Linked DNA regions of Lepisosteus oculatus. The protein of the gene in region 2 interacts with the protein of the main gene of each other region in a biochemical or structural test. Links are inferred from orthologs where the notes say so. Each region holds a gene or a part of one and is shown on either strand. Other genes may lie near its edges.

Region 1 (16,772 bases), on a different chromosome or scaffold from region 2:
TCCCAGGAGTGCTGTCTTTTCTTGCAGGAACCCCAGTACTGCACTCTTACTGCTGCTCTGTATGGTTTCTACTTCCTTCTGAAAGCAACTCGACTCCAGGATTGCGACAGTCACGGTTTCTCCATACAGGTGAAAGGAGTCTGAGAGAGACACAGATCCTCAAAACACTACTGAGAATATTTTATAGAACATTGCCTAATGTTAGAGTCTCATTGATTTTGCGTGGAAGAAAAGTATTTTTCTTCTTTCGTGTTTTTATCTTAAATGAACAATTAGGTGTCAGAAATTGAAAGGGGACATATTAAGCTGCACTTGATTTACATCTGTGCTCATGTACAAAGGAGTTTTCACTTCATTCGCCAGCAGCCATATCACCCTGCAACTCACAACAAGTAACCCACTGAAGCTAAGCAGGTGTGAGCCTGGTCAGTACCTGGATGGGAGACCTCCTGGGAAAAACTAAGGTTGCTGCTGGAAGAGGTGTTAGTGGGGCCACCAGGGGGCGCTCACCCTCCGGTCTGTGTGGGTCCTAATGCCCCAGTATAGTGACGGGGACACTATACCGTAAACAGGCGCCGTCCTTCGGATAAGATGTAAAACCGAGGTCCTGACTCTCTATGGTCATTAAAAATCCCAGGGCGTTTCTCGAAAAGAGTAGGGGTGTAACCCCGGCGTCCTGGCCCTTACCAATCATGGCCTCCTAATAATCCCCCTCTATGAATTGGCTTCATCACTCTGCTCTCCTCCCCACTGATGGGCGTTCTGGTGCACTGTGGCTGCCGTCGCATCATCCAGGTGGAGAGGAGTCCCCATTACCTGTAAAGCGCTTTGAGTGGAGTGTCCAGAAAAGTGCTATATAAGTGTAAGCAATTATTATTATTTTCAGTGTTTGATTTAGATCGACTGAGTTGCTGTTCCTGGGTTTGTTTAAATTGAGCTGAGCTCTTAAAGCATATAATTCATACATGTAGTAAACATCTAATATTTCTGAAGAGGTCAAAGCAAACCTTCTCTTTCTCAGGAACAGCACAGTGGCTGCAGATATTTCACTGCTATTCACATGTAGCTCCCGTGTTTGTCTTTACCAACTGAAAGCAGGTTTTTCATTACATGTGACATGCTGGGCCTTTAGGCCTTAAAAAAGTTTTTTATTGTTACTTTTAAAACGGCAAGACACAAAACATTCCTATTTTCAAATTTAAAATGGAGATTCTATTACGACACTCATCCTGCCATTACTGCGGAATGAAATTTTCCGGAGATAACTAGAAGTATTCTCCACAAATGTTTCCCACTAAGACCCTAAAAACACTGGAACTGTTTTACCTCAGACATCCAGAGTTTAAAACAGTTCTGAACTACAGAGTAGATCCAAGTAAAGATTCCCAGTAAAGACTTTGTGGCACTGCTGTTTTAATAACCAGCTTTTAACACATGGAGGGGGTAGGGTGGTGGTAGTCTGCTTGGAGCTCTCCCCTGGGTGAAGAGGGGAATTGAAAGCCTGTTTGTGCGAGTCAGTATTGAGTGATCGTGTCTATCTCCTCTCTGGCAGCGGCTGAAACACTGGGACCCGGCCCTCTCGCTGCGGGCCTGTGAGCGACGCCCATTCAGCCTGCTGTCAGAGCGCGGTGTGCAGTACCAGATTACTGTCCAGGGGCTCGTTGGCAGTGGCAGGCAGTGGCAGGAGTTCTGCACTGGGCCAATCTGTCAGGACTTCGGCATCACCAAGAGGTCCTCCAAGAGCCAGGTACAGCCACCCCTGGCACATCGCTGGCTTTGCCATTACAGGGCTGAACAACACACACTCCACAAAGTGCCTCTCATTTTGCACCAGTTGAGGTAGCTTCTTATTATGTAACCATAAATGGCACCCCCCAGCTGTGAAATGGCATTTTGGACTTTGCAAATATTCTTCTTGGAAAGCTGCACAAACGAGACATCAAGTGAAGTAATTGTGGAAATGCAGTTGCTTTCAATTTTGAGCTTATTGATCAAAATAGATTGATTCTTAATCTGTGCATGCTTCAAATTCGGCAGAGACTGATGTTACTGTCAGACATGATGATGCAGTGCCACAGACATTATTATTACTGTGTCCATATTAGATTTTATCTCCTTCTTTCCCTTCTCTTCCTTTCTTGCAATGCTAAACAGCATTTTGAAATTCCCTGATGATTGTGAAATGTATTATCAGCTCCTGGAGCACTCACGCTAATGGACAGTCGGCCCTGGGAGACAAAGAGATGTGGGGGGGCTGGCTGAGTGTCTGACACCTGTGTCATTGCAGCTCCTGCCAATAGATTTTGGGGGGGTTGATTGCAAGGTATAGTCGAGGTGGCTGGAGATCACAATGAGCCTGTGGTGCACACAAACAGACTTGCCTCCTAGCACACTGACATCGAGACCCCCCCGGGGTCTGTTCTCACATGCTGTGTTGTTTGTTTTTTCATCTGACAATCATGTGACCAGGGAGTTTCACACACACAGGACCCAGAGTATTTTACCTCCAGGTCTTCAGAAAAGAGAGATGCAGTTTGCACAAAGAAAATGCAAAAAAGCACACAATAGTCTTCACATGCTCTCTCTAAAATGGCTTTTTAATTCTGAGCGGAAATGGACTATCTAACATTTTGGTTGTGCAGCACGTTATACTGTACGAATGGTTAATTTAGTATCAGTGCTAATAATGGTGGTGATAATTAGTACCTTCATAATTAATATTAAAGTCAGAGTAACAGTTCTACCCTTAAATTTTTTTAATCATTTGATTCTAATACTCATACTTATTGTTTGCATTTCTTTTCATTTTTCTGCAGGTGTTCAAAGTGAAGGGCCTCAGCCCTCCTATTTACGTGACCTTTGCACTTGTCTTCCCTGCTTTCTGAAGCCCATTCTAGCAGGCGGGAGCAGACAGCCGCAGCTCTCCTGAGCCTCTACATCATTAAATCCTGGTATCAGAAATCACAGACAGCATGACTCTTGATACTCTGCACTACATAGACTAAGTAGGGGGGCAACTAGAGGGCACATGCTTGCTACTTTATGCAAAGATAAGGACTAATCCTTATTTGGATAATTTCTTTAAAAGCAGAAGAAACAAAACATCACTTTTTAAGGAGGGGCATGTTAATTAATATCAACTCCTGACAGAGTTTCACACTCTCCTTTGTATAGTGGTGCTGCAAATAACTCTGTATGGAGTTGCCTGTTAAATAAGACCCCTTCATAACATTAGATAATATGAGGCGCTGTCTCTCTGCACATGTCTGTGAGAGGAGATGGGTGATATTTCCATTGAGTTGACTTCTTTGTTTAGCTTATGACTTTCACATGTTAAATCTAACCTGTAAGGATATTTTGCTCTTGTAAGCATCTTGAATTCTGCACCACAGCTTGGTGTATAATATCGCTACTCTGATAGTATATCAGATGTATACCTGGAATTCTGGATATTCCTTCACAAGCCCCTTGTGCTATTTGTTTCTCAGCATTGTTTGAAGGCGCAGTATACTGGCACTGTTCAATGACAGAGCTAGTTTCCATCTTCCAGTACAAACAGCAGAGCTCTCTACTCTTCAACACAGCAGTTCACACACAGTGTACTACAGTGCCTGCTGCCTCTCCCTTCCTCCCTTCTCCTGCCTCACTTCCGTCTCATCTCCCATCTCCTGCATTGAATCATGGCTGTGGATACGCAGTGCTGCTCTCTATAGCACTGTAACAGGAGGCACAACAAACCAAGAGAACCGATATGCTTACCTTTTCTCATTTGTAGCAGAGATGCAGCGTTGTTCTGAACACAAAGAATGAATAAACTGTCAGGTGTTAGTTTCAGTGCATTTTTTGTTTCTGCACCAGATTTGTTCCCCACGTCGTTAATAGTAATTTGAGTTTAAAGTATGAAGCTGTACATCCAGGCAATACAGTTAAGGGAAAGGGAAATGTCTGTGTTTTGGTTGGAGCTGTTGAAGGTAAGCCTTCAGGTTATTGCGAGTTAGAAAAGGTGGAGCAGACTGGAAAACATTTTTATTAACTCTTTAAATTTTCCTGTCTTAGTTTGATTTTTGCTATAGTTTCCTGCTTTAGTTTGATTTTTGATCTTTTTATTGTGGGTTCACTGAGGATGGCCTGAGAAGCTATTTTACTATATCTAGGCAATTGGCATCTTTTAAATAGCATCTACTGGGTTGAAACTATAATTGGTTTGGTTGAGCAAAAAATAGAGTATAACAGAAACAGGAATTGCAGTGGGGCTGTCCGCCCTGCGAGTCTCTCCCCTGTACCTCCCTGTACCATCTGAAAAATGACTAGAGTCATTGTGAAATCTGCATTGCTATGTAACCAGCCTGCTTTGTGTTTGTCAGGGGACCTTTGTAAAACTGGGTGGGATGTGAAATGATAGAGCACGCCTAGCCCTCATAGATCTAGGCAGATCATTATAAACAGCACTGTGAAAGACTGGACCTGCCTTAATTGCAAGACAGTGTGAAACAAAACTCATACACAAAGGGTGCAGGATTTAAAAGAGGCAACCATGTTCTTCAAAGTAACTGGGAAGTCCAAGTTATTCAGATGAAGCCTGACTGCACTTTTCTGCCTATCAGTGTCCTTTTAGACTTTGCATCTAAACGTTTCAGGATCCAAAAGCAGCCTGATCAAAATCTTTATAATACAACTGGAATATTGCCAGTATAAATAATAATCTATTTCCCCATAGCGAAAGATGGTAAAACTGAGACAGCTGATCACCAGTACAGACAGGATGAACAATAAAGAAGCTAGTGAAACCTTATTTCAAAGCAAAGAGGAATGCTATGCTATTAATTTATAATGACAGTTGACATTAAATAACCATTTGCACTTCAAAGGAGAAATCTGAATATAGTTATTTTCGCCTGTGGTGAGCTGCTGCCAGGATGCAGTGTAAATGCACAGTTTGCCTTTACCTCAATCCATTTAGGAAGCTGTGTAATCAGTGAAGTGTCAAAAACAGCTGATTACACTGCACCAGAGAAGCAGCTATTATCATTGCTGAGCTGCTGTGAACTCAGGCCCCCAGCACTGGGGACAGTGGAATTCTAGACACGCAAACAGAAACTAACACATTTTGTGAAATACCTACCTGAACAAGTATTGTTTCTTTCAAATCTGTCAGCTTCTACCCATAAACTAAATATATATTAAATGGTTCTTTTGCACGTAATGTTGTGGATTCGAGACACTGTTGCTGTCCTGAAATAAAAAAAACACCAACAGTCCAGTGTTCAGACCCCAAATTATACATCCCATCCAGACAGTAATGTTTCTTCAGACTTTCTAACTTGTCAGCTTGCTCATTGCTGTCAGTCTGGATGAGCTTTTGTTGTTTCAGGTTATGCAGAAGGATATGTCACATAAAATAGAGATGAGCCTCATCTCAGGGCTTAAAATAAGTGCCAAAAGTCAGAAGCAGTCATTCAAAGGATATTGCATTCGTATCAGGATTGGCGCCCACTGATTTATTAATTCAGAATTATGTGTTTCTCTACATTCTAAATATGTTTCTCTGCTATTGTTTCTGAGTTCTAATTTCAGTGAAAGGAAGCAGTGTTGCTCCACGGATTCTGTATTTTCACATGGGCAGGCTGCCATTTAGGAAACTGGGAAGTCAGCCCTGTGTTGGCATATCCCATTGCATTTCTGTAGAAGTAAATAAGGTAGTATTCCCATTTGCGGTTGCCAAATGAGTATCACTCCCTGGGTTTGTTCTTTTGCACTCTGTGCTCAGTTGCTGTGGAGTTTCCCAGACCTGTGAATTGGCTGTTTGAAATCAGGCTCCTCGTTGTTTGCACGCTTTTCATTCTGTCACCTGACTATACGCTCCAGCTGCAGGAAAGGGGAATCCCTCGTCCTTTCTCAAAGGGGAAATGCCTGTAAAGAAAGGTGAACTGTGTTAAAGCAGCAGTTAAGGAGGATTTGAGAAATTCTGTCTCAGTTGTGTGGAAAGCATTCTGTTTTTTTTTATAAGCTGCCACTAATTGTCAGTGAAAGGTCACTGTTACCTCGTGTGAGGACATTAATGATATTAACAGATATTTGGGGTTTGGCTCTATGCACTGCCACCTGCTGTGGTCATTAAGATGTAAAGTCAAGCTCAACTTGACTTTATTTTCCAATAAGGAGCCTGTTTTGTTACAGGAGCACCTGCTACACTTCTCGAATGTGTGTAAGTTTCAGGGGGAGATGAGGGAGAAAGCCAGAACAGTTATGTTTTTCTTTGTTTGTTGTAGTTCAGCATATAGCAAGGGTCTTTTCCATTTCGGACCTCAGTCCTACAGTATTTCAAAATGAATCGTTTGAAAATAAAAGTCCAAGCATGGAAAATGCTAAGAGCAGTAAAACAAGAAAAAAGGAAGATGCCAATGAGAAAGTGTGTTCAGCATGTGTTGCAGTGCATTTAATCAATATTGTCATCGCTATAATATAATATAGGGTTAGGCAACAGCTCCCTCATGACCCCTCTAAAGGAAGGTCTCTTCTTAATGAAATTAAGACTCTCTGGTGTTGCAATAGAGAAAGGAGATGAGCATGGAACCTCAGAGCTTTCCTTAATTAGCAAACGAGTTGAGCTATTGGGCAGACTGTGGTTTAGATGTTTAGATCAGCTAAAGCAAGCATCACTGTCTTTTTAACAATATCTACTTTAAATATGGCAGATGGGGAAGACAGAAAATTGCTTTGATCACAGGTATACTGTAAAATTAGTAAATTATCCACTTGGCTTATTGTACAAAGAAAAAGTGCAGTGAATGTCTGAAGACTAGAAGGAATAAATACAACAATTTTAACTATTTTTTTGCTAAAAACCCAGGGAACAGGAGTTACCACTGAAAATTATTTTGATTGCAATTCAACTTTCATTGTACGTCTTAGAATTATCTGCTAAACATTGCCATAGCAACATAACAATCAATAAAAGAATGGTTCAATATTGGAGCGGGTTCTGTATAAGAATAAATAGATTTGTACTTAGAATAAGTTATGTGAAATAGTATGAAAATGAGTCTTAAAGTTGTTTCTATACCAGTTACTACAGAATAAATGTTGCCCATCACATTCAGCAGTGAAGGTCCTACAGTTCTGCAAGTTTGTTCTGTATTTTAAAAAAAGAATATTAAAGAAATGAAAACCCCAAAGAGCAGTAAAATTTTATTAATAACACTGTATCATTCCTTGAGATGAAAAACGATTGATATATAAATTATATGGTGTTATACTAGCCTTCAGATATTGTTCTTTTCTGTCAATACAGGCATCTGACCTCTTAAATTGATCATTTTCATTTAAAAGCTGAGTCCCCTCTTGCTCTCATGCCATAGGGATTATTTCTGCGTAAGCAGAAAGGCTGGTTGTGGTACATTGTAATGGAAGCATCTAAGCCATGATTGATGAGGGTGCAATCATTGATGAACACAGCACAAACACACATTCTCCATTAGTCTGGATAAAAACTCTGCAGACGTGTTCTTTTGTCTCTGTTGCTTGTAAGGCCTTTGAAGGGGCTGCCTCCACCCTACCAGCTCTCCCAGATGAATATATTGTGCTGTGACCTCTTCGCTTTTATCACTGCCCACCCCTGTGGCACAAAGCAATAGACTGTGAAACAATCTAAGGGCCTTTCCAGGAAGTTTTTTTTAGCTTTACAAATTAACATGGCATAACATACTGCACAAAGGTTCCTATCCATCCATTATCAGTAGGCTGCTTATTCCTGGTACAGATCAATTGTACCCAAAGCCCATAATGGGCACAAGGCAGGCCCACAGCCTGTTTGAGACACAAAGATACTCCTAAAATCCACACTTTGCAAATGCATAATAATAATAAGGACATGAATTCTTACTCTGTCACACCGGTTAATTGTTGAACTATTGAGCTTAGATGCTGTCGTAAATGTATCACATCACCATAGTATTTATTGACCTTTGAAAACAAACGTTAATTAGAACCTCAAGTGTTTTGGAGGGGGAGGCAAAAAACAGAGACACTTTAGTGTCTTTGATCATCATTGCTGATGATAACAGTACATAGTTTTACTGCATCCATGTATAACACTTGCAGTACATATTCATTCATCATCAGCGAGCAGTGAAGCTGGAACTTGTCAGGGTGAGGCCAAAGCCCACCCAACACCCACAGGGAGCAAGGCAGGACTTGCCAAGGGGAGACCACACTCCTGGGGCACCAGATCAAGGGAGGAAGGGACAATCTGGGAAAGCCTGGCAAACGTAGCCAGCACCTCTTTGTTTGCTAGAAAACGTATTGAAGGTCCATGCAAATGTGGGGACAAAATGCAAACTTCATGTGGAAAAATGCTGGAGGCCAGAATCAAAGCCGGGAACCTGTAATCATGAGGCAGCAGTAATGACACCAAAGATATGGGGGTGGAGCGGTGGTACTGTGGCTAAGGATCTGCCCCTGTGGCTGAAAGGTTGCCAGTTCAAATCCCGTGGCCGGCAGAGGAATCCTATTCTGTTGCGCCCCTGAGCAAGACCCTTAACCCCAGCTGTTCCAAGGGTGCTGTATAAATGGCTGACCCTGTGCTCTCCCTGTCTGTGTCTCATGGAGAGCAAGCTGGATTATGTGAAAAGACTAATTTTAGGGCTAATAAAGTGATCTTATCTTATATCTCTCTCTTGGGCTTTTAAGAGGATGATTGCTTTCCACCATCATCTCACCTAGTGAAAACAGACGATCATAAGAGAGGTTACAAACAAGAGGCCATTCAGCTCACATATGGTTAGCGAATAATTTATTCAAGGTTCTCCTCCAAATATGATTTCTGCAAGACTCCATTGTCAACAGCATAGCTGGGTAGCTAGTTCCATGCTCCCACAGCCCTTTGCGTAAGTATGAGCCACTTGTTCTCACTTTTAAATGCAATTCCACATAGTATCCATTCATGTCTTCTGGAGGACAATAATATACACAGTCAATAGACTTTTTTGAATTTGGACATCCTGAGTAGAATGGGTTGGGTTGTTGGTCTGGTCCAAGACAGTTTCTGCTTTTAAATTTATAACATGCATAGATTTAAATTACAGTAACCATAAAAAACGGGATTTAATTTCTGCCTGCATCACTCATCTTTCTATCCACTTTCTTGCTCACACAGAACCTCCCTCAAAGGGTCTCATGTGCTTTGGATCCTGTTCTCATTAACTGTAGTTTTTGCAGTTTGTCCCGATCCGTTGCATAAATCGTCCTTTTATTGTACTTTTATCCTTTTGTTTTACGCAATATTGTGCTTGTTTTTTTTCCTTTAGAAAATTGTAATAATGCCATTTCCCGTCCATTCAAATAAATGTTCAATAAAATTCTTAAATTACATTGTTATGTATATTTACACAATTTGGGCTATGTTAATGATTTTTTTTATGTTAAATTATTATTCAAGAGAGCTGTATTACAATGCAGTACTGTAATTATTACCGCAATAATGGTATTCAATTTTGTTTACTTGATCTTTCCGTTTTTCGTTGCCGGCGCCTTTCGGACTAGTTCAGTTTCAAATCATAGCTCAGAGAAATTACATCCATCCATTTTCTAACCGCTTTCTCCAATACAATTGAAGTTTAAAAAAATCCAGCATTACGACAGCGAGAAATTCTGCTAATACTACGATTCCCAGAATCCTGTGTAAACAAGCTTCCGGGGAAACAAAACGGCGTAGGACCTCCCTCCCCCTACAGAGCTTCGGGATAGGTAGGAAGTCAGTGGGAGATGGGCTGAAAGAGTTCACCAGGGTAGGTTTGGGTGGATCTCAGTCGTTACTATCAACCTTTCCTGCAGAACGGAACTGAGTAAGTAAAGAGAGCTGAACTTGTGTTTTTGTCTGGGAGGTTTTCTTGCCTATGGTTTGAGACCGGAGGAGAGAGCTGGTTGCGTGCGAGATTGAGACGTTCGTGGCGTTTCGCACCAAGTACCGTGAAATAAAATCGCAGCTAGCGGACGGGGTTGTTTCTGCGCTCCTTGGCTAGCACACCGAGTAGTTGGATATACTGTACATGTTAATACATGTTGTTGGTAGCCCCCAGAGGCCCCGACTATTGAAGCTACTTCACTGCGCTTAATTGTTGGCTGTGATTTTCTTTGTTGAGAAAGTAGTTTAACTACGAATGAGCAGTATCGTCGCAAGCTGTACTTACAGTTGCTGTTTCAAACTTTTAAAAGAGCACAGGGAATGATGAAAAAGAAGGCTCTCGTTTCAGTCGAATAATACTATATATTAAAACTACAGACAGCAAGACCTTTTAAGTGCGTCGGTAGGTGCAGGGGGTTTGTAGCATCCGAGCGCGGATATGTAGCCACGTTGTTGAAGTTTCACCTTGATTTTGTAAAAGTTCAATGTAAACAGTATGACGTTGTTTCCTGTACTGATTTAATATGTTTTAAAGGTTTAATTGGTCGGCTCACTGAAGCTGTAATGGTCTTAAAGGTGATTGTAGCTATTGTATTCTCCTAGTTTGGTATTCAAATGCATTTATTAGTGCTCTACATTGTGTTAAAGAACGCATAATTATTGCGTTTGGCAGTAGGCTCAGTGGTCCTTTACACAATCGGTGTCTTTGTGTTTGTCAACCGGTGTTTTCCAATTATAAAATAGGTTGAATACACGTGATCAGCTCTCGCAAAATTGAGCTCCCTATCCGACACAGTTAGCATTTTTCTTTATTGCGTTTGCAGAAAAAGCCCTTATAAAATCAGCATATTGGTACTGATTCGCTAGAATCAGACTTAATCATGAGAATTAACAGTAGGACACATATACCAACAATATTAGACAGGTTTTCTGTAGTCTTTTCGTAACGAGGTAATGGATAGTTCTTCAAATGACAAGTCAAGCTGCTGGATGAGTCTTAAAATTTCACCTTAGAGTGTTTTTGAAAGTCTGCATGTTGCCATCCGATCCTTCTGCTTTCTGAATTAAGGCAGTTCTCTCGTTATAAGACTTTGTTTCCTCTTTTAGGGGTGTTGGGGCTAATTTTACTTACTGTGGCTTGAGAACATCAGGAGCAGTGAAGTCCCACTGTTAGGTTTGGAATAAAAGGTATGCCCATATAGCAAAGTGTATTTGCGACCATCACGGGACAAGATGTTTTAGGATCCTCCAAATGCACTCTCCTGGTTCCACATGAGGTCTGTGTGGCACCAAAGCTGAAACAGAAAGATATTTTTGAGAACTTTCATTGTCTTAAGGGGGAATAGCACATTCCACGCTATATTCAATGAAGGCAGTTTTCTATGCTCATGGTGAACTGTGCTCATGTATGCTGTGAATGGAATTACTTGTCGTCCAAAGAAATGTTATTTGATACATTTAGATGTAGTACTTAAACATAAATGGCCTTTTAAAGCAGTGAAACCCAAGAATGTCACTATCTTTGTGACATTATACAAATCTCATGAGGTCAGGATCTTGACTGAGACTGTGCTATGAGCTTGCCACCTCATATTCAGTGCATCTCTGGCCATTGGCAGGAATGCAATTAAAGCTGTGCCACATCAGTGTTATCTATTTAGGGCCTCAAGGATCTTGTATAAATAATACTAATGAAGGAGGCAAACACATGAGCTGATTCATAAATATTTAAAGACTTTCTTCCTTTTGGCCTTTGAAAAAGGAGCCACAGTTGGTAGAACATAAAAATATTCAGACTTGCTCACAATGCGAGTCTTAGTGTCGTGGTATCTGCCAATGCCTCTTTCATCAAGTACTGGTATTCCAAAAGCAGGCCGACTTTAAATTTTAGAAGGACAACTTTATCTTCATTTCATCCCTCTGTATGTTGTGTCATCATGTTGTTTTTTTTGCAAAGTGTTGTGGAATGCAGCTTAAAATTACAAAATAGTTTTGTGTTCTCATTGTGAAAGATATGTACAACCCTGTGGTTTCTCGGTCAGGTCTTGAGACCTTTCCACCCACTCCTACCCTTTTCTGCAGACACCGGTCTGAAAGAGACTGACTTCAGAATAACTCAAAATGATGCGTGTTTTATTCGAAGGGCTTGTTCCACTGGAGTACAGTACGGCAAAAAAGTGCAAGTCATGAGTCTTCTGTTCATACACCTCTGGAAAGGAGAACCAGCTCTAACAGTGCTTTTTGTGGCCTATCTGTGTTATACTTCAGTGGAATGCTTGTTGCCATTGTGCGTTTCTAGGCTTGCTCTTTATCTTCATTTGCAACTAACTGGGATAAAAAAAAACTGAGACTTAGACATTTATCTGTGTTGTTAGGTAAAACCTAAGGCATTTGTTGGGTGTAACCATGTCATCATTTGACTTCATATTCTACCTGCATGTAATGCTTTGCACTTGCCACTATTGAATGTGCTTTTCCTGTTTCTTGCCTAGTTCTAATTAATATATTGAAGTTCACTTGCATTTCTTTTCCTGTGTTGATTGGCTTGCCGCTTACCCACATTATCTGATATGACTTGATTACTCTTCTCATCTTATGAAACAGATTCCTTGTATACCCCACAAATAATGTCACCTCATTTTGAGGCCTCTCAATATATTAATCTTATTAGAGTCCCTAAGTTTTTGGTTTGAGAATTATTCTTCTATAGGAAACGTTTTAAAAGCTCTTTAGAAATCTAAGTGTACAATCATACAATATTGGTATCCTATATTAGTTAAAAATGTAACATTGTAGTGCAACAGGGTCCGATATATGGACGAGGCTTTATGTGAATTGCAGGGGGATTTTTAAATATTTGTGGATATTTGTTAATTGTGCACAAGACATGCAGAATTGTGAAAAAGTAATGTACCTTTATTATTAATTTGGGAAATCCAGAGTAGACCCATTTAAGAACATTCCAGTAAATTCTTAACCAGACATTTTGCTGCAAAATATATTACATTAATGAAGTATTCATACATTCATTGCAAGCAATAAAATATTGAAATCAGTAGATAGTCTGATTCTACACAACAGCTGTAGAAGAAGATTCTAGTTGCCTAAGCATTTTAGACTAAAACAGTGTTTCCTTTAAACTCTGTGCCTTGTGTTTGTCATTATATTGTTTATAACTGAACATTTGGCTTAAATTTATTATCTTGCAGGACATTGGAATCTCCTGTAAAGTTTTAAATTCTAGCATCTTTAACCAACACTTGTCTTTATATTTGTTTCCAAAAAGTTGCACATTTATTTACAAAAGCTAATTGGTTACATATTTGTCTTTATGCACAAGGTTGTGTTTACTTAAAAAAAAACTCTAACATGGACCAGAGGAGGGTGTTCTTTAATTTAATTAATGATCATTTAACTCAAGTAGTTCTGCCAATTCAGGTGCTTGCTCAAGCCAGGCTTTCTCCTTGCTTTATTCAGTGTGGAAATCTAAGAAAAGAGACTAAAAATGAAACTTGGGGTCTTCAAAATTAACATGCGCAGTGTTGTGCTCTACGGTTCTGAATTCTGGAAGGTGACCAACACCATCTCAGAGGAGATGACGTCTGACACCTTTCAGAGCAAGTGCCTATGGCAGAAAAAGATGTACTGACCAAACTGGAATGACCATCTGCAACGAAGGCTTTTAGACCTCAGGTCGCTCACTACAATACTCACAGAGGAAGATGGAAGTGGCCAGACCATGTCTTGTAAATGCCCCTCTGACTCTCTGCCACGAGCAGCGCTACGCTGGACGCCACAAGGGAAAACAAGTAGAGGCAGACCCAAGGAGACATGTGGAGGGGGAACTCGCCTGGGGAACTGCACCAAGAACAGCAGCAGGTCCCATGCAGCTGCCTCATGTCAGAGGCGGCACAGTAGAGCCCTGCTCAGATGTCAAGTCATCGTCCAGGTGTTGTGGGTCGGAGCCTTACTGTGACTGGGGTTCCCTGAGCTCCAGCACACACGTGTCTGAGCCCCAGGAGGGTCGAGGGTAGAAATATACTCGGCCAACAAAAATAATTATTTGATTTTGTGTGGTACTGTACACTATGTATATAGTGCAACAGAGCTCGCTGTATCACCTGCAAATACACATCCACCACCACACTCATTCAAGGCCCCTCAGGACAATTCCGGATCACCCAGACAGCATCTTGTACCTCCAGCAACCTTATTTACTGTATCTCTTGCAGTAAATGCCCAGCCATCTACATTGGAGAAACAGGAAGGAGACTCGGAGACCGCTTCAGAGAACACGTCAGGGCTGTGAGGATTAAAGATCTCTCCAAGCCCATTGTTTCTCATTTCACCTCTGACGGCCACGACCACACTAATCTCTCCGTCTGTGTTCTCAAAGACGGTTTTCCGAGCTCATACATCAGAAAGAGCACCGAAACCAAAATTATTCTGCAGCTAGGATCACACATTCTCCCTTCCCTTAACGACAGATTACTGTTCTTTTAAATTTTCTCCATTCATTGGAAGTTTCATTTCACACCTCTCTGCACCCATTCTGACTTCACACCTCTTGATTGGCCTCTCTTTCTGTCCCCTGCTCCCGCCTCTCACTCCTCCTCCCTCCCAACCTTTGTTCTCCCGCTACTTTACCTTTGCCTACTGCCCTGTCTCTCTCACACCTGAAGAAGGCTCCACGGCCGAAACATTGTGTTCTCTTTCTTCTTTTTTTTCAGCATGGAATAAACCTATTGTTCCTTTGCAGCCTACGCATGCTGACGCAGCTACCCACCTGAACCACTATGTATATGTTTTGGGATTAGAAACCATCTTTTGTGGAAGTTCATGGAAATTACTGAACTGAAATCATAGCATCGTACTTTGTATATGAGACAAAGACAATTAAATATCCCTTGCTATATTTATATTAATCAAGTAATTTGCATTCCAGATTCTACTTCCTAAAACAGAACAGCATAGCATTTCCTAAAATGTAGAAGGTAACGCTGAGAGATAGCAGGGACATGTCTATGTAAATCCTGCCAAAGTTAGCAATGAGATAGGGAGTGAAGAAGGAGTTGAAGGGTGTTGAAGGATGCTAACTTTTAAAATAGCTGACTCTCTGCTCAGTTTAGCAATTATTAAATGTGGTGTTACTATGTTTTAACAGCCCTTCTCTATTTAGAAGAAGTGTTCAGCCACATTGTTGGTACAGCGCACCTTAAATGGCATTCCACCCTCCCACAGCTCTTGTCCCAGGCTCTAGAGCAGGTTGGGCAGTGTGCTGTCCTGCCCACTCCCTCCCTGGTGTTGCTGCGTTCTCTGGTTGTGAAGAACTCAGGACTTAAGAGAACAAAAGCTGCAACACATGCCTCTACATACAGTTCTTTCTGTTTTTTTTAATATCAACTAATATTGAGAGCTGTGGAAAAGGCATGCAATTATTTGCACATCTCGATTCACATTCTGTACTACTGTTAAACAAATTTCACTCTGTGATTTTGAGAGAGAGCCCAATTCACTGTGCTGTAGTATAGGACACCAGTTAGGTCAGTGTGTATTTGCCTCCTTTGTGTCATGGGTGTGTGAAAGGTAAGGACTGATATGAAATTCCAGTGGTTTTTGGTGTTGCTCTTTAATTGTATACTCAGCAATGTGCTGCTTTACTGTTATCCCTTGACTAGATTCTGGCAGTTAGTCTAGAAATTGCCAGGTGATTTGACGAATCATAGTGCTGATTAAAGTGTTTTCAGGATCCGGTAAACTTGTTTTCTTGACAGTTCATTCAGTTTACCCACTTACAGCCCACGTTACAAGAGCAATGATTCCAGTTAACCGCTGCTGGGTTACTGGATCACTCCAGTTACTGGATCACTCCAGTTACTGAAAATATACTGGCTGAGGAAACATTTTACTAAGAATGACATCCACATTGGTGTACGCTTTCTACTGTATTTGTGTGTATTGAAGTTCAGCCATTTTCTTGTTGAACTTTGTGAGTCCCTAATAAGTAAGGTATTTGGGGAAGTTGGGGGATAGTCTTTAAGTGGTAGTTTAGAGACTTAGCGGTATCTGCCTGTCTGCCAGGTAGGCAAAGTAATGTGCTGTTGGACTGACTCTCCATCCCATAGTGTTACAGGAAGAAATGAAGGAGGGTTGCTGGAACTGCCTTTGTAGATCATATTCTACATTTACTGTAAATTAATGATCATTTTCAGTTTCACAAAAGAGTATAAATACAAATACAGCAGCAGTGCTATGTTTTTTTGGCCCTATACAACTAATCATTTGGTGAATGTTTTATAAAATAAGTAAACTGATCTTTTTAATAGATTAAATTCTCCTCAAACATAGGCACATCTTTACTTTACTGAAGCTGGTGGTCATGACTAGGCTTGTTGTTTAAAAATTGTGAGGAATAAGACTGGGATTCAGTGCTGCAGAATACATTACATCAGGTCTAAACTGTACTTCAACAAAGGTGCTTAACTGTATTCTGTGCAGCCACCTACACTAGAACCTTGTATTTGAGGAGTTAGTCTACTGTGTTACTCAAGGCAAGGAGGAACTCTGAGGATCCTTTCTTAAGCTTGCCATCTGAATGGTGAACCCCGACTCTGTCTGTTCAGTCTTAATAGTAACTTCATTGTAAATATTTAAAACACATTTGGACCATTCTCTTCCTGCCACGTGAAACTTAATCATTTGAGCACTGAACTGAAGTCTTTCTTACCTTCTGTCCTTCAGAAACACTATTCCATTCTTGTGTTCAGAGATCATCCTTCACAGTCATTCATTACTTCATACAGCTGTACTAAACTTTAACAAAGTTGAGAATCATTTCAAACACTAGACTGTGCACGTGATGTTGAAATAA
Region 2 (16,733 bases):
AAAGGTTTGCTTCTGCAGCTTTTTTTCTCAATTTTGCAGGAGATAATTATTGAGATATATCCTGCAGGTTATAAGAATTATTGCTGAGACAAATCTAGCAAATCATCAGGCTCCTGTTGACAGATATCTTACAAGTTAAAAGGGATCATTGTTACAATATGTCGATTTCCTGGCCAACTCAAACACACACAACCCTAAGAACACTTGGCCAGTTGTGGTATGCTACCTGACCAAAGTCAATTGACAAATCCAGACTCAGATTGCAAGATGGACTATAGGAATCATCCTGCACTCTAAACAAATACCTTTGGTGTTCTGTCCCCTCTGTAATCCCCAAATGTTTATTATTAAAGAGAAAACACTTCATTCTCCCCCTTGTTATGCTTTGCCAGAATCTCATGAATAATCAGCACATTCAAATTTAAATTTAATTAGGAGTTACTGCCACTGAATTTAATAACATTTCTTTATGTCTATAGTCTACACTGGTGATTAAGATTTTCTGAGAAGGTTTTTTCACAGCATATTAGTATTTTTCTCAGTATGACTAAAAAATGTGAGAATCTTATAATACAAGAAAAAATACAGTACATCCTCAAGCATTCTATGGATTCAGTGATTCTTTTGACCTTATAATTATGTAATTATTTTGCCTTTGTGCAAGCACATTTTATCTCAAATTTATTGCAATGCCATGATATTTAATTATGTTAATTAGAAGAACTGAGGATAGCTAATATATTAATAGTACTTCTCCTTCAAACAAAATTTTAGTATCAGGCATTCACTTGAGGACATTAAAAGAAAGATGTGGTGACCCAAGCAACTGGGATGATGTAATCAAGTCTCACACATTCTAACAGGACACTTGCATTAATTTATTTTGGGGCTTTAGCTTTTAGCCATCGTTTTTTTTTTTTCATAAGTGTGCGTCTCTTCATTGCACAGTCAAACTAGATTTTAATTCATATCATTATATACTTTGCAAACTTAAATATTCAGTGTCACTCAGTGTCAGTGTCAAGCCATCCTATTGAAGTCTCCTTTGCTGAATTCACATATTTTTGGCATATTACACAATTTTATTATAAAATGTAAAGCTTAGATTTTTTTTAACACCAGTCATAAATGGAGTTTTCTATGAATGCCTGGGAGGGATAACAGCAGCCAAGTTCAATTGGTCCTAATTTATAATCATTCTTGACATTATAATTTCTTCACATTAAAAAAACATAAATAGATACATTTATGTATCTATTTGTCCTTTGCAATTATCGTTTCCATCCCTAATTTACCTCATACTCACATAAGCACCTACGCATTAATCAATCCTTACTCTGAAAAGGGGTCTCAGCCTATGCCAAGCAGGTTTAACCAAATTCACTTGACCAAAATACTCAATATACATCTATAGACCTAATTCTTGGATGTTGTTATTCCAAGTGAAATTATATTACAACGTTCAGTTCTGATAATTACGTCACATAATTACATAACCTCGATTTTAAGCACAGTGGCATGGTGCTTAACACTACCGCCTCACAACTCTTGGGTCTGTGTGTGTGATTATGGACAAGGCTGTTTTGGTGTGAAGCCTGCATTTTCTCTGCAGCACATGCAGCTAAATTGCCCCCTTGCATGCATGAGAGCTCCATGAGATGTTCTGCTCTTATATCTGGGGATTTCCTATGCTTGCTGAATGTAGTTAGGCTCCAGCTCACTACAAATCTAGAAAGGAGCAGTAATGGATAATTTAAGGATAGATTTTACTATATATACAGTATAAATGAAATTGATTTTAAAATAAACTTCCAATATTACGGTCCCAGCTCTTTTCCAAATTTACATTAAAACGTATTAAAATGAGCCCCTGCCACTAAAAGATATTTAAAAAAATCATAATGGTCAAGAGATAAGATGTCTTGATGACATTCCCCAGAAAGACACTGAAGGGGAATTAACTACCTTTTACTTAATGAGGAAATGATTGGTTAAGCGATGGTTTAAAATAAAATAATCAGTGTTTATTAGGTGGGAAAGCCAATTAGCTACTCTGCTCAATTACCATTAACAAAAGATGTTCAGCTTAGTTAGAGTTGAGATAGAGCTAGTATTTTTGTTTGATCTATTTTAGTCTTGGTTTTCCTGTACTGTGAAAAAAGGTCAGTACAGTACAGTAGTAAGTCAGTGCAGTAGTTTAGCACTTAAGATGTTTTAAAGATCTTGGACTTGGAGCCTCCTCGATATTGTGATGTAAACACAGTATACGTGGTGTTCTCACAAATATTTGCATTTAAATGTTGCACACAAAATCAAATACCAATTCATTTGATTATGTTTCTAAGGACAATTTTTAAAAGAGAAATTAACTTTAATCACTTTGAACTTGATATTTATCAAAAGACCTTTATCTTTGATTTACAGGCATAGCTCCTTTTCCATTACTTCTTTTTCAGCTACTGCACTACTCTCAAATGGTTGCTGCTTTTTTTATTTAATTGTTGTAAAACATACAGGTTCCTTATTATTCAAGTGTATTTTCTATGTTAAAATATACATTTTAAGAATTAATGTATTACCTATGAAATGATATGAAATGTAAGAGGATTTGCAAAATTCATTTATCAGGAAACCAGTAATTATTTTTGATATTTTAGATAATAATGGTTAAACATTGTCAGATCAAATTCACTACTTGATTATACAGAACATTCTTTCGCAGTACCTGTGGATCTTTGTTACTGGCGCAACCTGCATACCAATGTAAGATTGGTTCCAGGTATTTTCTATCTAAAGAGGCAAAACAGAACCATGGAAAGGCTGTTAATATAAACTGTGGTTAGCTGGTGTTAATTGAAAAATGGAGGTATGAGTACTTAGAACTGCATGCATTTTAAGCATTCATAAGCTAGATTCCTATTGGATCACTGCTGCCATGCTATGCTTAAGGAGAAAAATTAAACTGAATTGTATGCTAATAAGGGGGAGAAGAGTACACTGTAGTATTTCAATTCCTTAAACCCTCTGCAAACACTGCCGTGAAACAGCATAGGAAGAATGTTTTAATATTGGTTTTAAAGAATGTTATGTTCTTTAAAGAATGACGCTCATGGGTTTAGCAATGCAAAACTTATTAAAACTACAATCCCGGGATGGAAAACTTTGGAGCAAATTTGGAAGTGACTGTATAGAATGTATCATGATTTAAATGTATTTCTGTATACTAGAATTAAGTGAATGCACTGAATGTCTGAGTTAAAGTGCTGTTTGTTAAAATGGAAATAAATGAAAGTGTCACTCTTAAACCTGATTTAATAGTAATACTCTAATGATAACCTACATTCACCTACATTTGTCCTAATACATTGCTCTAATCTATTTTTAGTGGCTTTCTAGATATCAGGAGATAAGAAGACATGTGAAACAGAATCCTTAGCAAGGAGAAACAAGACAATTTCTTATCTTATCTGACAGTACAATTTATAACAATTCCTTATTACCAAAATGTGTCTCTACAAAACAGTTTCTGCCATGAAACATGACATAAAGAATATTATATTTTATGAAAAAAATAAAATAAAATTAGAATTAACCCTCTCTGAAACAGTCTGTAATGAACTGAATCATTACATAGTGGTAGACTTAATTTAGCTGCCTTTGGAGTATGACCATGTTTAAAAGCAAAGGAATTTTGTTTCTTCAAAAACACATTTTTAAAGTGCTATAACAAGGTTGGAAAGTTTCATTTATATATTTTAATGGCAAAAACCATTGCAGTTAAAAACACTAGGGTATCACTGTTATTATTACATTTATTTAGCTAAAAACTGCTACAGTACAGGATATAAGGCCATATCTTTGGTTGTCATACATTTGTCAATCAAATGTAGTGATTGTGCCATGATGTAACAAAAGGCAAACATAAGAAACATTTTTATTATTAAATAATAAGGATAATTCAAACAATGTCCAAAAATAACAATATTAACAGAAATTCTGAATTTAATTTAAGTTATAATGGTATGACGGTAATTCAGTTTTTCTTTTGTGTGTTTTTTGCAACTTGAGTAGAACGAAAAGGAAATATAAACACACTGGAAACTGTATTAATAAAACCAATGGCAGAACAAGAACATGCACTGAAAGCTATAACATAAAGGTCTTTAAGTGAGTTTTAAACATGTTGACAGTTGCAGAGCTTTTAATGGATCTGAGCAATAAAATCCAGACGCAATACACTGTACAAAAGAAGGCTCTAACACTCATAGCTTTAAGCCTGATCTTTAACAGAGTGAGAGTATCAGAATCAACAGATCTCCAATTAAGAGCTAGTCTGTACACTTATGCCCATAAAATAACCTGGAGCCTTATACTGTATGTAAGTATGAGAACCTTAAAGTCCACCGTAAGGTGCCAGTCTAATTTACATAGTATGAGAATTACTGTACAGGCTTACATGCTGATGCAAAAATACAGTGTTGAGAAAAGGCTTGTGAATCCACTAGGATTTCCACATACTGTATTTGACACTCAAATGTTATCACATCCTAATCTAAGTACTAATAATAGATAAAGTTAATCTGACTAACCAAATGACATAAAACATGATACTCTTTTAGCATTTTTATCATTAAAAGATACAACATTAAATACCCATTTATGACAAAGTTTGTGAACCTTTAGATTCAGTACTTACTTTTGACTTGTCTGTCCAGAGAACATTTATCCAGAAACCTTGTGGATCATCAGTGCTCTCTCTGGCAAACTTCAGACAGCCAGCAATGTTCTTTTTGGAGATCGGTTTACTCCTTGATGTCTTTCCTTGAACACCATTCTTATTCAGCTGTTTTCTGATAGCTGTGTCATGAACAAGCACATTTACTGTAACTTATGTTACCCTTAGAATGTATAAGTCAGTGCCTCTAGGTATTGAATGCAATAAAAAATGTATACATATACAATAAAAAATCAAAAATTGTGTTTGCATCATTTTTAATTTCACAAAATGAAACATACTGTAGGAATGTTTTGAATACTTCTGAATAACACTATAAACATAAAAAATATACTGTACAGCCCAAATAAGTTTTTAAAAGGATTTTTAAGATTTTTTGAATAGTGCTTCCTTTATATCTAACCCCAAGGGCACTGCTGTAACTTGTAAGAAGAAGGCTGCTCTCAAGTGCTTTGGGGCAAAAGAAGTTTTGTGTGTTATTTTTATTATTCCAACTGCCCTCACATGAGCAGTAGACAATGGCCAATTGAATTTAGTGATATATAGTTTTATTACCACCAAGACAAAACAGTTGTCCTCCTTTTTAAATTATAAAAAATTCTAAACTGAATTCTGATAACATTGTGCTGTATTCTATATTCATTAAATAATAAAAATAAAAATAATATATTTTTATGATTCTTTGTCTTTTGAGTTCCATTACTGTTGTTGTGTGTTTTCATAGATATGTGCAACTGCAACTGTGAGGTTAACACTTTAAAGAATATTCCATATATGCCAAGATTATAGAGTCAAATATACATAGCACTGGAAGAAAAAATCCAAGTACAATTATATTTGAGCTTTTAATATAATAAAAATATTAAATTAAATTGGGATGGTCATATTAATTCAGTGCATCTTCAAATGGTTTAAAATAAGACTACAGAAAACTCAGAAATCAAATTATGATTGGGAAGGATATTAGCACATCCAGGCTAGACTCCCACTCACCTGATGGGTAAAGGAGCCAAGGAGTCTGTAATGGGAGCCGGTTAAGACTCCCATATAGTGCGCATTTAGGACCCTATGCAGACGGTAAAATCCGGAAGAGGCTGGAGAAGGGCAACAGGGAAACACAACAGGATCAGGACAGGATGACAGACAGGGGGGCATGACGGCAGTGTTCCTGTGCTCGAGGGGGCGTGGTGCAGGCGAACAAGTCCAAAACTAACAGAAGGGGAAAGCAGGTACCCGTCCAAAGTCCATTGCCGGGAGATCCATCAAAACAGACACAGAAATGGGAACGAGGAATCCGGACCATGGAAGTAAAATCATAATGGAGCCGGGTGCTCCGAGCCCCGGATCCAGATGGTCAGGACGCCAGGGAATAAGACCTGCCCTCGGGCTACCTGCGAGCCCGGGGAATAGGCAAGCCTGGTGGCATTCAGCCATCTTCCAATGCTGATCCGAGAGCTACGGAAATGCCACGCTTAAATAATAATCAGCAAACAGGGGGCAGGTGCACGCAATAACGAAACTAAAATACAAAAGGGTAGGAGCACCCTCTAGAGGAGGGATGAAGATGACTTAAACTCATGTAGTTTGTAAATGTGTAACAGTTTCAGACCCATGTAGTTTGTGCATAGCTACTCATGGAGTTGTGTAGTTTGCTTCCTAAATGCGTATTCCCTTATTTTCTACTTTTGTCCTATGGGTTTATTTCTTTGTTGGGTTTTATATATTTAGTCTTTGAGCAAAGCATCCCATGGTCTTGGTGTCTATCGAGAGTAGGCTTCATCACCAGTTTGATAATCTGATTTTGGGAGCACACTCTTGGACAGAGCATAATGCCAATCTACGAATCTGCCACCAGGATGTGAGAAAAATTAACTTTTCAAAAACAAAACAAAATTAAATAATGATTTAGAGTAGTTATTGTTAATTGTTAAAGTTATAGTTAATGAAGCACAATGAAAACCTAGCAGTTTCCAATAGCCATTTGGATATATAAATAATGTTATTTATCATTAAACTGTAAGCAGACATGTTTATTGATTATTTGAGTGCCACTGTTCCATTGATATAGCAACAAAGTAAGCCCAAGTCACTTAATTTGACAAAAACACCAGGTGCATAGTATTTGATATTTTAATTCAGATAAAAATGAATTGACTAAGGATCTATATAAACAGCTATTCAAAAGACATACTTTTATGTAATGTAAGAACAGTGAAAGAAACAATCATGCCCCACTCCAATAGTGAAAATCAACTGGTTGCTGTATAAGCATGATTGTAGGTGACTAGAGTAAGACAAGTTGTCCAGACAATTCGGTGTTCTGGTTCAACAGTCATCAGACTAGTCCGTAGAACCAGGAAACTGAATCTCTGAGGGAAAGCAATGTCCTTAAAGTCATGATACCAGATGCAGGACCATGACATCAATCTGATCCATCTGTGTAATCATTATGTAAACTGCAGTGGCTACAGCACTAGGAATTCTCAACAGAAATAACCTGTTATCTCTCTCATGACCCATATCCAATATAATGCCTGTGGAAGCAAGACAGGAATGGCAAAAAAAGCAGCCAACTATGACCAATGAGCCCTCGCAAGCTGACTACAGCTGCAAAGAAAGAATAGCAGAACATTCCACAGCACTACCTACAGGCTGATCAATGTTGTGCATCTATCCTGCCAGGATCATGTTAATGTTCAAAAATGTCATAACCATTTTTCAGATGTCCTCATTTTAACAGTGTTATATTGTCCACAGTTTTATTTCCCCACAACTCTTTGATCTATGCTGTATATTGTTCTGTGATTTTGATATTTTATGAAAAAAAAAATATTTGATTCATCAGTTAGGTCTGACTGCTGTGCATAATTATAAAAATCATATTTATTGGACTTGATCATTTAAGACATTAATGAATAATGTTCATGTATGGTGCCAATAATTCATGTGCTTTATTATTGGGAGTGGAAATCAGGTAAGAGATCATTTTAGTTTCCAAATATCTTTCCCTTACACCTTAAATACACATCCCTATGGTACATCCCTTTTTAATACTCAATACATTTGCAATCATTTGTTTAGCAAATGTTTTACAAATTACAGCTGTGGCATGAATTGCACCTGATATATTCTGTAGATTAATGTCTTTAATGTCTTTACTGAATAGGTAGCATCATGCTAATTTATCGCCTATATTAAATATCCACCATTTCACCGTATTTTGAGTCCTAAATGAAAGTCTAAAAGAAATGAAAAGTAGAATGTTTAAAAACTCCTTCAAATTGCCAGCCATAGCAATTTCATGGAGTACAATCATTATTTAATCTATCTACTGTACATCATCGTTCAATCCTTTTCAATCCTTTCTTGTGAATATTCTATATTCTATTCTAATTGTTAGTTTAATTTCTCTTTCCGATCAAAGACTTTCAATTTTCAGGTGTCCATCATACCAACCTTTCAAAGACATGTTTTACCATTTTTCTTTTATGTAGGGAGGTCAGATATAGAACTGTATCAGTAATAAATTTAGTGGTAGTTAATACAGGTTGTGAAAATAGTTCTTGGACAGTGTCCTGCAAATATATTCATCCAGTTCATACATGGACACTGCCCAATTCTGACTCTTCTCCATTCCAAAGTCGAATTCCAGCCTGCCAGAGTCACCCTTCCTCAGACCAATATTGCTCAGACCTGTCACGACTGTAATCCCTGCTCTTAAGGGCGCTCCAGCTCTTTCATATTTTAGTTGATCATGTGCACCTGCCGCCAATCCTGCCCCTCCTTAATTAAGGCGGGTGCTCTTGCTAGTCCCAGCTCTGCATTGGAAGACGTGTGTGTTTCTGTCTGTGCTGCAATACACTGGCAGCGCATCTACGATGTATCCCAACTTGCACCCATTACTTGGCAGGACAGGTTCTGCTGTAACCCAGAATTGGAAGGAGAAAATGGATGGATGCAAATAGTCCACATACAGTTCAAAGTACTCTGAAGACCAGGAGATTAATCTTCAAACTACAGATTATGACAATGATCAACTCTGTTATGATACACTAGGAAGCAGAACCATATACAGACATATGATGCTACTTTCCCCACATTTGAAGTCAGTGTCTAAAGTCACAGTCAGCTCTTTTGTTATTATTCTGGTTCACTGGGGCAGCGTTACTAAGTTTGGAACAAGTAAATGTTAATTCCAAGCTAAGGAGTAAAAAGAAGAAACAGTTGTTTTTCTGTCTTATGTTCTGCATGGAATTAACCTTTACTTAATGACAATTGACTGGTTTCCTGTCCAGGGTGTATCCTGCCTTGCGCCCATTGCTTGCGAGGATAGGCTCCAGCTTCCTTGTGACCCTGCAATGGAAGAAGGACTTAGAGAATGGATAACTAGAGTACTAACTAAAGATACTAACTACAGTTAGCTTAGGAGCAAGCTGATGTAGCTAGCACTTGCTAACCCAGCTCCCCATTTGAATAGCTAATTTTGAGTTTGAAATTGGAGCATATACTTTTAGGATTTTTGTGTCTTTAAATAGCAAATAGACAATATTAATTATTTGATTATCAGAGTTATCTCAAATACTTTCTATATTGAAATCATGGTGTCATTGTGTGAAGGACTTTTGTCCAAAAGACCTGTAAGCATTTAAATTGTGTACCAAAAAATCCCAATATATTCTTTTCATTTGTAACTATTTTACAAAAGTACAGACATATCATGGGTACATACAATTTAGTGTGAGTTTCTGGATTTTTCACACTATTGCAGTGATTAAGAAATAAGGATAGAGTCTGTAAAAAGAAAACATCTGGAGTTTCTCCATAATTTTGCATGAAAAACCGCTGCTTAACCACCATCCCCCTCCCTTTTGCATTGTAGCCAGTGTACTGTACGTTTCACAAGACTTTTGTATAAGAGCGCCACGCTGAGTAAAATTTAGATCCATGCCTTAAGGCTATGCTTTGGCTGTGAGAGTCAGTATTCCAACAGACCACAATGCATAAGTGTTATCCATAGGTTATCCATAGTATTAGCTTCAAAGAGATGAGAAGCATATTTACAAAATGTTTTTTGGTGATGTGATAAAATAAGACCATTATGTGCTTCAAAATTGTGATAAAAATAATAGTATATATATAGTAAAAAAAAGATAAAATCACAAATCGAGTTTTATGCTCAAGTTATAGCATTTAAATTTCGAGTCTAGTCCTAAAATAGTAAGAGTGCTTACATCTACTAAACATACATATATAAACTGAATGTCTGGAAAATCTGAACGCGTTTTTTTTCCCTGTGGATCGAACGTCCTTAATTTATGTATTTTGTATTTTTACGCATGTATTATACATAATTCTTCTTTCATTTAAAAGTTTGCTTTAAGAATCATTGTTGTACCTGAGAGGTCGTAGCTATATTTCTTCAATGACTAAGGGTAATGAAAACAGAATTTATCTGGAGTGCTTTAATAGCTTGTGCGTATCTCACACATCTTTCGGTTTTATTTTCAGATACAAACACTTTGTACTATTTTGAAGGAGAGCGCGGTCTTTACAAAGAAACTGGTGTTTGAATTTCAGCCCTCGTTCGTTTTTCTTTTACTTCACAAGACTCCGTCACAGCGGAGCTCTTCATTAACTAAAGCTCCCTTCGCTTCTGTAACTGCGGCTTCTGTGCTGTTAACGGTTCTCTTTCCTAAATGAACAAGAGCTGCAGTGAAAACCCTGCGGATATTCTCGTCACAAAGCTTTTTTTTGTTGTTGTTTTTGGATTACGTGTTTCGTGCGGTTTTATTCGTACTGAGCCGCTAAAAACGCTGCTAAAACGAAGGGTTGGAGAATGGTAAATTGATCAATAAACCGGAGTCGGAAAAAATACACGATTTGTGAGAGTGTGGGAAAGAAAAATCCCTTGTGATTTTCAGTCCGTTTCTGTGATCTATCTTGTGAGTTTTTCCATTCAGTCATTTCAGCACCACTAGAAACAGACAGCGACCGCTTAGCTTCCAGGAGATTGGAAAATGTACAATCTGCATTTCACTTGGATTTTACTGGAAATCGGCAGTGAGGAGAGCTAATAACGCATTCAAAAAGGAGCACATACAACTTGTGTTTAGTTTTGCGTTTCACTTTGGGGCATTTAATTTCTTTTTATACTTCGTCGTTCTCAGACACTCTCGGATGCTGCGTGGAAGATACGGGGACCAGGATCAGAGGCGATTTCCATGAGGTTATTGAGAAAGAAAAGAAGAAAAAAAATAGCCCGGAAAAACAAACAAGGAATATTGTAACTTGGGTTGGAAGGATTTGTGTGCATACAATAAAAAGGGAAGGGTTTTATAAATACTGGAGCTCCACCTGTTAACTGAACACCAGGTAAGCAGCTGAATTGTGTTTTAGTACTTTGTTTACAGATACCAAATAACAGACATTTTGATTTAATTAATAAAATAAGAGAAAACGTACGAACAAGTGTACACACTGCCCTTACACTGTATATACATATAGAGAAAGAGGGTGTAGTGAACAAAAGTATTTCTTTCATTGAGATTGTGTTTATTTAATGCTTTCGGAACTTTGTGAAATTTGCTGTCGCATTACTTCGGTCTTAGTTTCAGAAATATGTCCAGATCTGAACAGTGAGAATGCTAGAAAAAAAAAATCTCTTGAATTGCCAATCCACCGCGCTCTTTCTTTTTGTATAGAAACACAACGTTAAAGATTATGCTGATGTTAGCGCTGGTATTTGCTTATTAACAGTGTATAAATAATAAAATAATAATAATGAATCTTTTTGTCGACCGCGCAGTATATAATCGTTAGACCCAAGTTATCTTAGTTACAGGGACGATGAATCATTTGTTACACAACATATTAATTTAAACACATTTCAATAAACAATTTGAAAAAGATTCGGAATGCTTGAGGTTCAGAAATGTGCCGTGTACCTTGCCTGTTTAGATCCTGTAGTGGCTTAAGGAAAACTAGAACTGTTAGAACCTGCTAGTAGCCTACTTTATCATTGAAGAATGTGTCTATTAGGCTGTCTATTAGGCTGCGGGTTCGAAACTTACTAAAATTGTTTAAAAAAGAAAATATAAACACGAGAGTTAAGAGTCGGGACGCTGTTTTTCATACCTCCCAATTTACGTAATCGGTTTTTGATAATAAATTACTTTAAAGACTCACGTTTAAAGGTTCATGTTAAATAAATACCGGAGAGAAACATTCTGCAAGTAGGGATGCTGCAACAGCGGTGAAATAAAATCTTAAAGTCTTTAAATATTAAAAACTTACAGTTTTCCTGAAATTCGAGAATTTTTAACTTACAGTATTTAACATGCCAGACACTATTGAATATTTAGATAACTCCCAGAAACATTCAATATGGAATGATCTAGTTGTTTTTAAAACGTTTGAACCTGTGTATTTTTTTCTAATGATCTTTTTTGAAAAAAAAAATACTGTAGGTGATGCCGGTTATTGGGGTAAATCATTTCGCCTTGGTTATTCGTGCAAGTTCTATATCTATATTTTCATTACCATTTCTATTTGTATATTTATATTGTATGTTAGTGCACATATCTTTACAAACTCAGCAATGTGCTATAGCTGTCTTTTCAAAGCAAATCACATAACAAACAGGATTAACATGATAGCACAACAAGAGGAAAAGCTCAAAAAGACCGATGAGGTTCTGAGACCTGAAGAGAACCAACCTATGAAGGTTTTAACCTACGGAGTTTTGCTTCATTGTTTGAAATTGTGTTGGTTTGCTCCCTGTTTAAACTGGGCAGTTCACAAAATGTCTGGGTCCTGAAGCCTTTACTGAAATAATCAAATGAAGGTAGGAAGATAAGATGATGTCCTGAATTTGGATTGGATTGAGTCAAAACGTAGATCCACCTGCTGCTCACCCATTGCTTAAGGATATGCTTTTATTGGGAAGATGAAAAGACAATGACAGACACAACCCCATCATCCAATTATGTTTTTTATTTAGCAGTTAACATGGGGATTAGTATTTTTGATCTGTGGGTGGGTCAAAAATGTAGATTTGATCTGTCATGTTCGGCCTTCAGCTGGCCAACCAACCTTTGGGTTCCAGAAACATGAAGAGTTATCAGCTTGCATTTGGTATTGCAGTGTAGGGTTTCTAAATTAGGATTTCCTTAGGCACCCCCTCATTTTTTTTTCTTTTCAGCCTGTCATAGAACAATCCTTCATCCCAGAACTGTCAGACATCCCTTGCTTATGTCTCAAACAACAACTAAATCTAGTATCATGCGTCTTCCACGATGCCCTAAGGTAAACACATTTCCCTATGATACTGTATGTCTACAGTCCCCACAGATGCTGCAGATGAAAACAAGGCACTAGTATACAATTATTGATACAATAGAATGTGAAGATGTCACAACTAATGAAAGGATCTCTGATTTTTAAATATGTTCTTATGTAGTACAGTTTCCTATTTAAACCTTTAGCTAGTCCTGACACAAGATACTGTCATTTCTTTTGTGTTACTGGCTACCCTACATTTCGGATGTGAGGCAGAGGCAGAGTTGCGCACGGCCTTACTCCCAAACAACATAAAACAATATTTGAGTACTGTGGGGGTATAAAAGCTCCACAGGACTTTAGGAAGTATACCCTTCCACTTTGTTGAAAGAACAAGTACCTGGTCACTAAAAAATAATATAATTTTCCACTTTCCACTAAATTAAAATCCCTTTTCATTGTACATTGTTTTTCTGTAATAGATTTATATATTTAATGTAAGTACACCTCAAAATATTCCAATGAAAGTAACCAATATCAATTAAACACATTTAAGCACATATTATTATAAGGATAAGAGATTATCCTAAAATAGGCATAAGGCTAATGAATAATGGCAGTTGTATACTGCCATTATAGTTCAGCACAAATAATATTATAATATACTGTGCAATATTTTTATTGTTTGGGGAGGAAAAACAAATTTTACCATTATAAATCATATTTTTTGTACAGTCGCATGGTAGAATTATTTAACTGTAGAAACTGTAGTGACTGTAGTAATCAAATCATTTTTTGCCTAATATACAAAAGAGGGTAGACTGAGAATGTAAATTTATTGTTGTCGATTTCTTAATAGTGATTTTTAAATACATCTGAAAAGATCTGAAGTGATCTTATTATAACATGGCATTTTTTCAAGTAAATCAGAAGTATTTATCATCTACACACTGTGTTTCTGTTCAAATAACAATATAAAATAGGCAGAAATGCATTATTTAACAAAATATATATTTTAGGCAGACATGCCAAACCATTAACCATGAGTTCCAGATGTAAGCATCTGTATGCATGCCGGGGGTTGAAATTATTCATCACAGCAGTCTACACTTCTGTAATGCTTAGTTGCTGTCACCCAGCTTTAGACCTTGGCAAATATCATTTAGCAGGTCTACTATGATGCAAATCACGGCATCAGTATACCAGGCCAGCTTCTTAAACACACTGCATGTTTGGATGTACAGTTAATAGCACTCATAAGTCATTAACTTGTCTCAGCTACAGGGGTCAGCATAATGAACAAAGCACTTTGGTTAATGACATGTTATTGCTTTCTTACTTGTATCATTCTACGCTTTACTATTTGTTAAAAATAAATACCACATATGAAAAGATATTATAATAACAGTGTGTTTCAATTATTAAGGTAAAATATCTGTCAGTCCAAAAGGAATTACTCTGATGGGAGGATGAAGGAAGAGGGCTGAGTCCACAGAGCCTCACTATCTGTCTCTGCTTATGTCAGTTGTCATGTAATAATTCAGCATAATTTAGGTTGTGGGGACTATGCTTTGGATGAGGCCTGGATTGTTGTGTCATGGTCATCTGCGTGAACAATATCTCTGGGCCACATGTTGCCAATCCCCCTGCCATATGCAGTTATGGTGTTATTAATGGGACATGATGGATGGTTCCTCTCATAGCCCTGACCCAGGAGTCTGTGATCCACACCTCTTTTGTCCCTTAAAGATGCTCTGTTTAGTTGTGGAGGCGTCAGGTCCGGAAACTTGCCTAAACAGGTTTGGAGACCAGGAGTACTGTGGCTTTATTGATTATACATGTATACAAGTACAAATAAATGAGTGACAATTAGAGTTCATTAACTTACTTATTGAAACACATTGGAGTATATAAAGACGGTACAGGATACCAAACAGTATACACTTATACAATATACACAAAACAAATATAATAACTCTAGGAAGAGTTTAAATACGAGTCAGAAGAATAATTCTTGGCTCAGGAGATTCTCATGCATAGACATGATCAGAGAAACAAATCCTTTACTACAGAATACAGACTGAAAAGAGATTTAATCAAGTATATGAAATCTTAAGAGCTACATATACTGTAGGGTCAACCTGTCACAGCATTTCATACTCAGTATTAAAAACAAAAACACATTGTTTTGCAATTGGAAACTACAGATGCAACCTATAGTTGCACGAGTGGGCATCGCAGTATAACAGACAGCAGCAGATCGTGGCTTTTTTTATTTTTTCGAATCATCTGATGAAAGACTGCACTACTTTGTAAAACCACACCTTTGTATAGTTATCTGACAAATCGATACAGTATTACATGTTTATTAACACATTACTGCTTTCCTGCAATCATTGTATAGAAGTAGTAATTAGAAAAAATATTTTAGATGTTAATTAGAAATATGTATATTATACATAGTGGCTTCAAAAATCACATTTAAAAGCAAAAAAGAAAAAAGTTTGAGTGTTGCATATTGTAAGTTGCATTGTAATAATGGCACTCTGAAAACATTTGTCTATAATAATTAAAGATACTATAGCTTTGGATAAGTTTGCAACTACAGTATGTTGTTCTAGACAAATAGACAAATACGTCTGTGCCCCTTTTTCTTGTCTTGCAATATACGGTATATGCAATTTGAATTAAGGGTGATCACCCTATTTAAATGGATCAGAAAGTGTCTCCTTCATGTGGTTTTTAATTCAGCTCATGAGTCAAATACATGTACAAAAAAACTACATTTCCCAACGTATCACACGTTTAATGAAACACAACTACCACATATTGATCTTCTTTGAGCCGTGAATGACTAAATTCTGTATGCAGCACTAAGTACTACACTGCAATACACTTTCTTCCAACAACCGTTTTGACATGCATTCTAGATGGCTTCATCTGTAAAAGGACATTGATTTAGAGCAGAGAATAGGAATAAGATTTATTTACTGAATGTAGGTGTTGGGAACAGGCTACCCAGCTAGGTGTTTAAGGCCCCAAATCCTGAATAACATTTTAGATACATTTTAGATACATTTAGCTACTAAACTACAAAACAAGGAATATGGGCTAAATGACTTTTGGGTTTGGAACCTTTCTTTAGTCCTTATGGGTGTATGTGCAGTGCCTATAGTAAATCTACACACCCTTTCCTAACAGTCTGAGATAAGGACACATTTAATCAGAATTTATTTTACCTTTATTTATACAGTATATTGTAACGAGCTTCCAAGTGAAAAACAAAACACTGGAAAAATCTGTAAAGCAATAACATATTAAAAACTAGAAAAATGGTCTTAGTAAGTGTACACACCCCTGAGTTAGTACTTGGTAGAAGCACCTTTTGCTTGAAATACAGCCATAATTATGTTTGGATAGGTCTGTACTAATGTAGCACACCAAGAACTGGCAATGTTCCTTACAGAACTGTTAATGCTCAGCAGAATTGAGATGGGATTGATTATGGACTGCAAACTTCAAATTATTCCAGAGATTTTCAGTTGGATTGAGGTCAGTGCTCTGACTGGGCCACTCAAGGACATTTACCTTTTTGGTCTTTAACAACTCCTCTGTTACTTTGGTTGTGTACTTTGGGTTGTTGTCATGCTGAAAGGTGAGCATCTATCCCAGTTTCAGCTTTCTTGCAGAAGGCAGTAGGATTTCCTTAAGGACTTTTCTG

Evidence for each region.
Region 1: the proteins of sntg1 (region 2) and plekha1b form a complex in vitro, tested with the Homo sapiens proteins (2 studies listed by BioGRID and IntAct, with this or other methods). The link is inferred for Lepisosteus oculatus from reciprocal best matches to the Homo sapiens genes SNTG1 and PLEKHA1.

What each region holds. Positions count from the first base shown.
Region 1 is NC_090699.1:27,818,901-27,835,672, reverse strand, and holds the start of plekha1b (pleckstrin homology domain-containing family A member 1), read left to right. Parts: upstream 1-9,724; 5' UTR 9,725-9,842; intron 9,843-16,772. Other genes in the region: btbd16 (BTB/POZ domain-containing protein 16), read left to right, coding at 28-129, 1,553-1,747, 2,817-2,885. UniProt on the Homo sapiens protein: Binds specifically to phosphatidylinositol 3,4-diphosphate (PtdIns3,4P2), but not to other phosphoinositides. May recruit other proteins to the plasma membrane.
Region 2 is NC_090701.1:47,631,925-47,648,657, forward strand, and holds the start of sntg1 (gamma-1-syntrophin), read left to right. Parts: upstream 1-10,264; 5' UTR 10,265-11,107; intron 11,108-16,733. UniProt on the Homo sapiens protein: Adapter protein that binds to and probably organizes the subcellular localization of a variety of proteins. May link various receptors to the actin cytoskeleton and the dystrophin glycoprotein complex.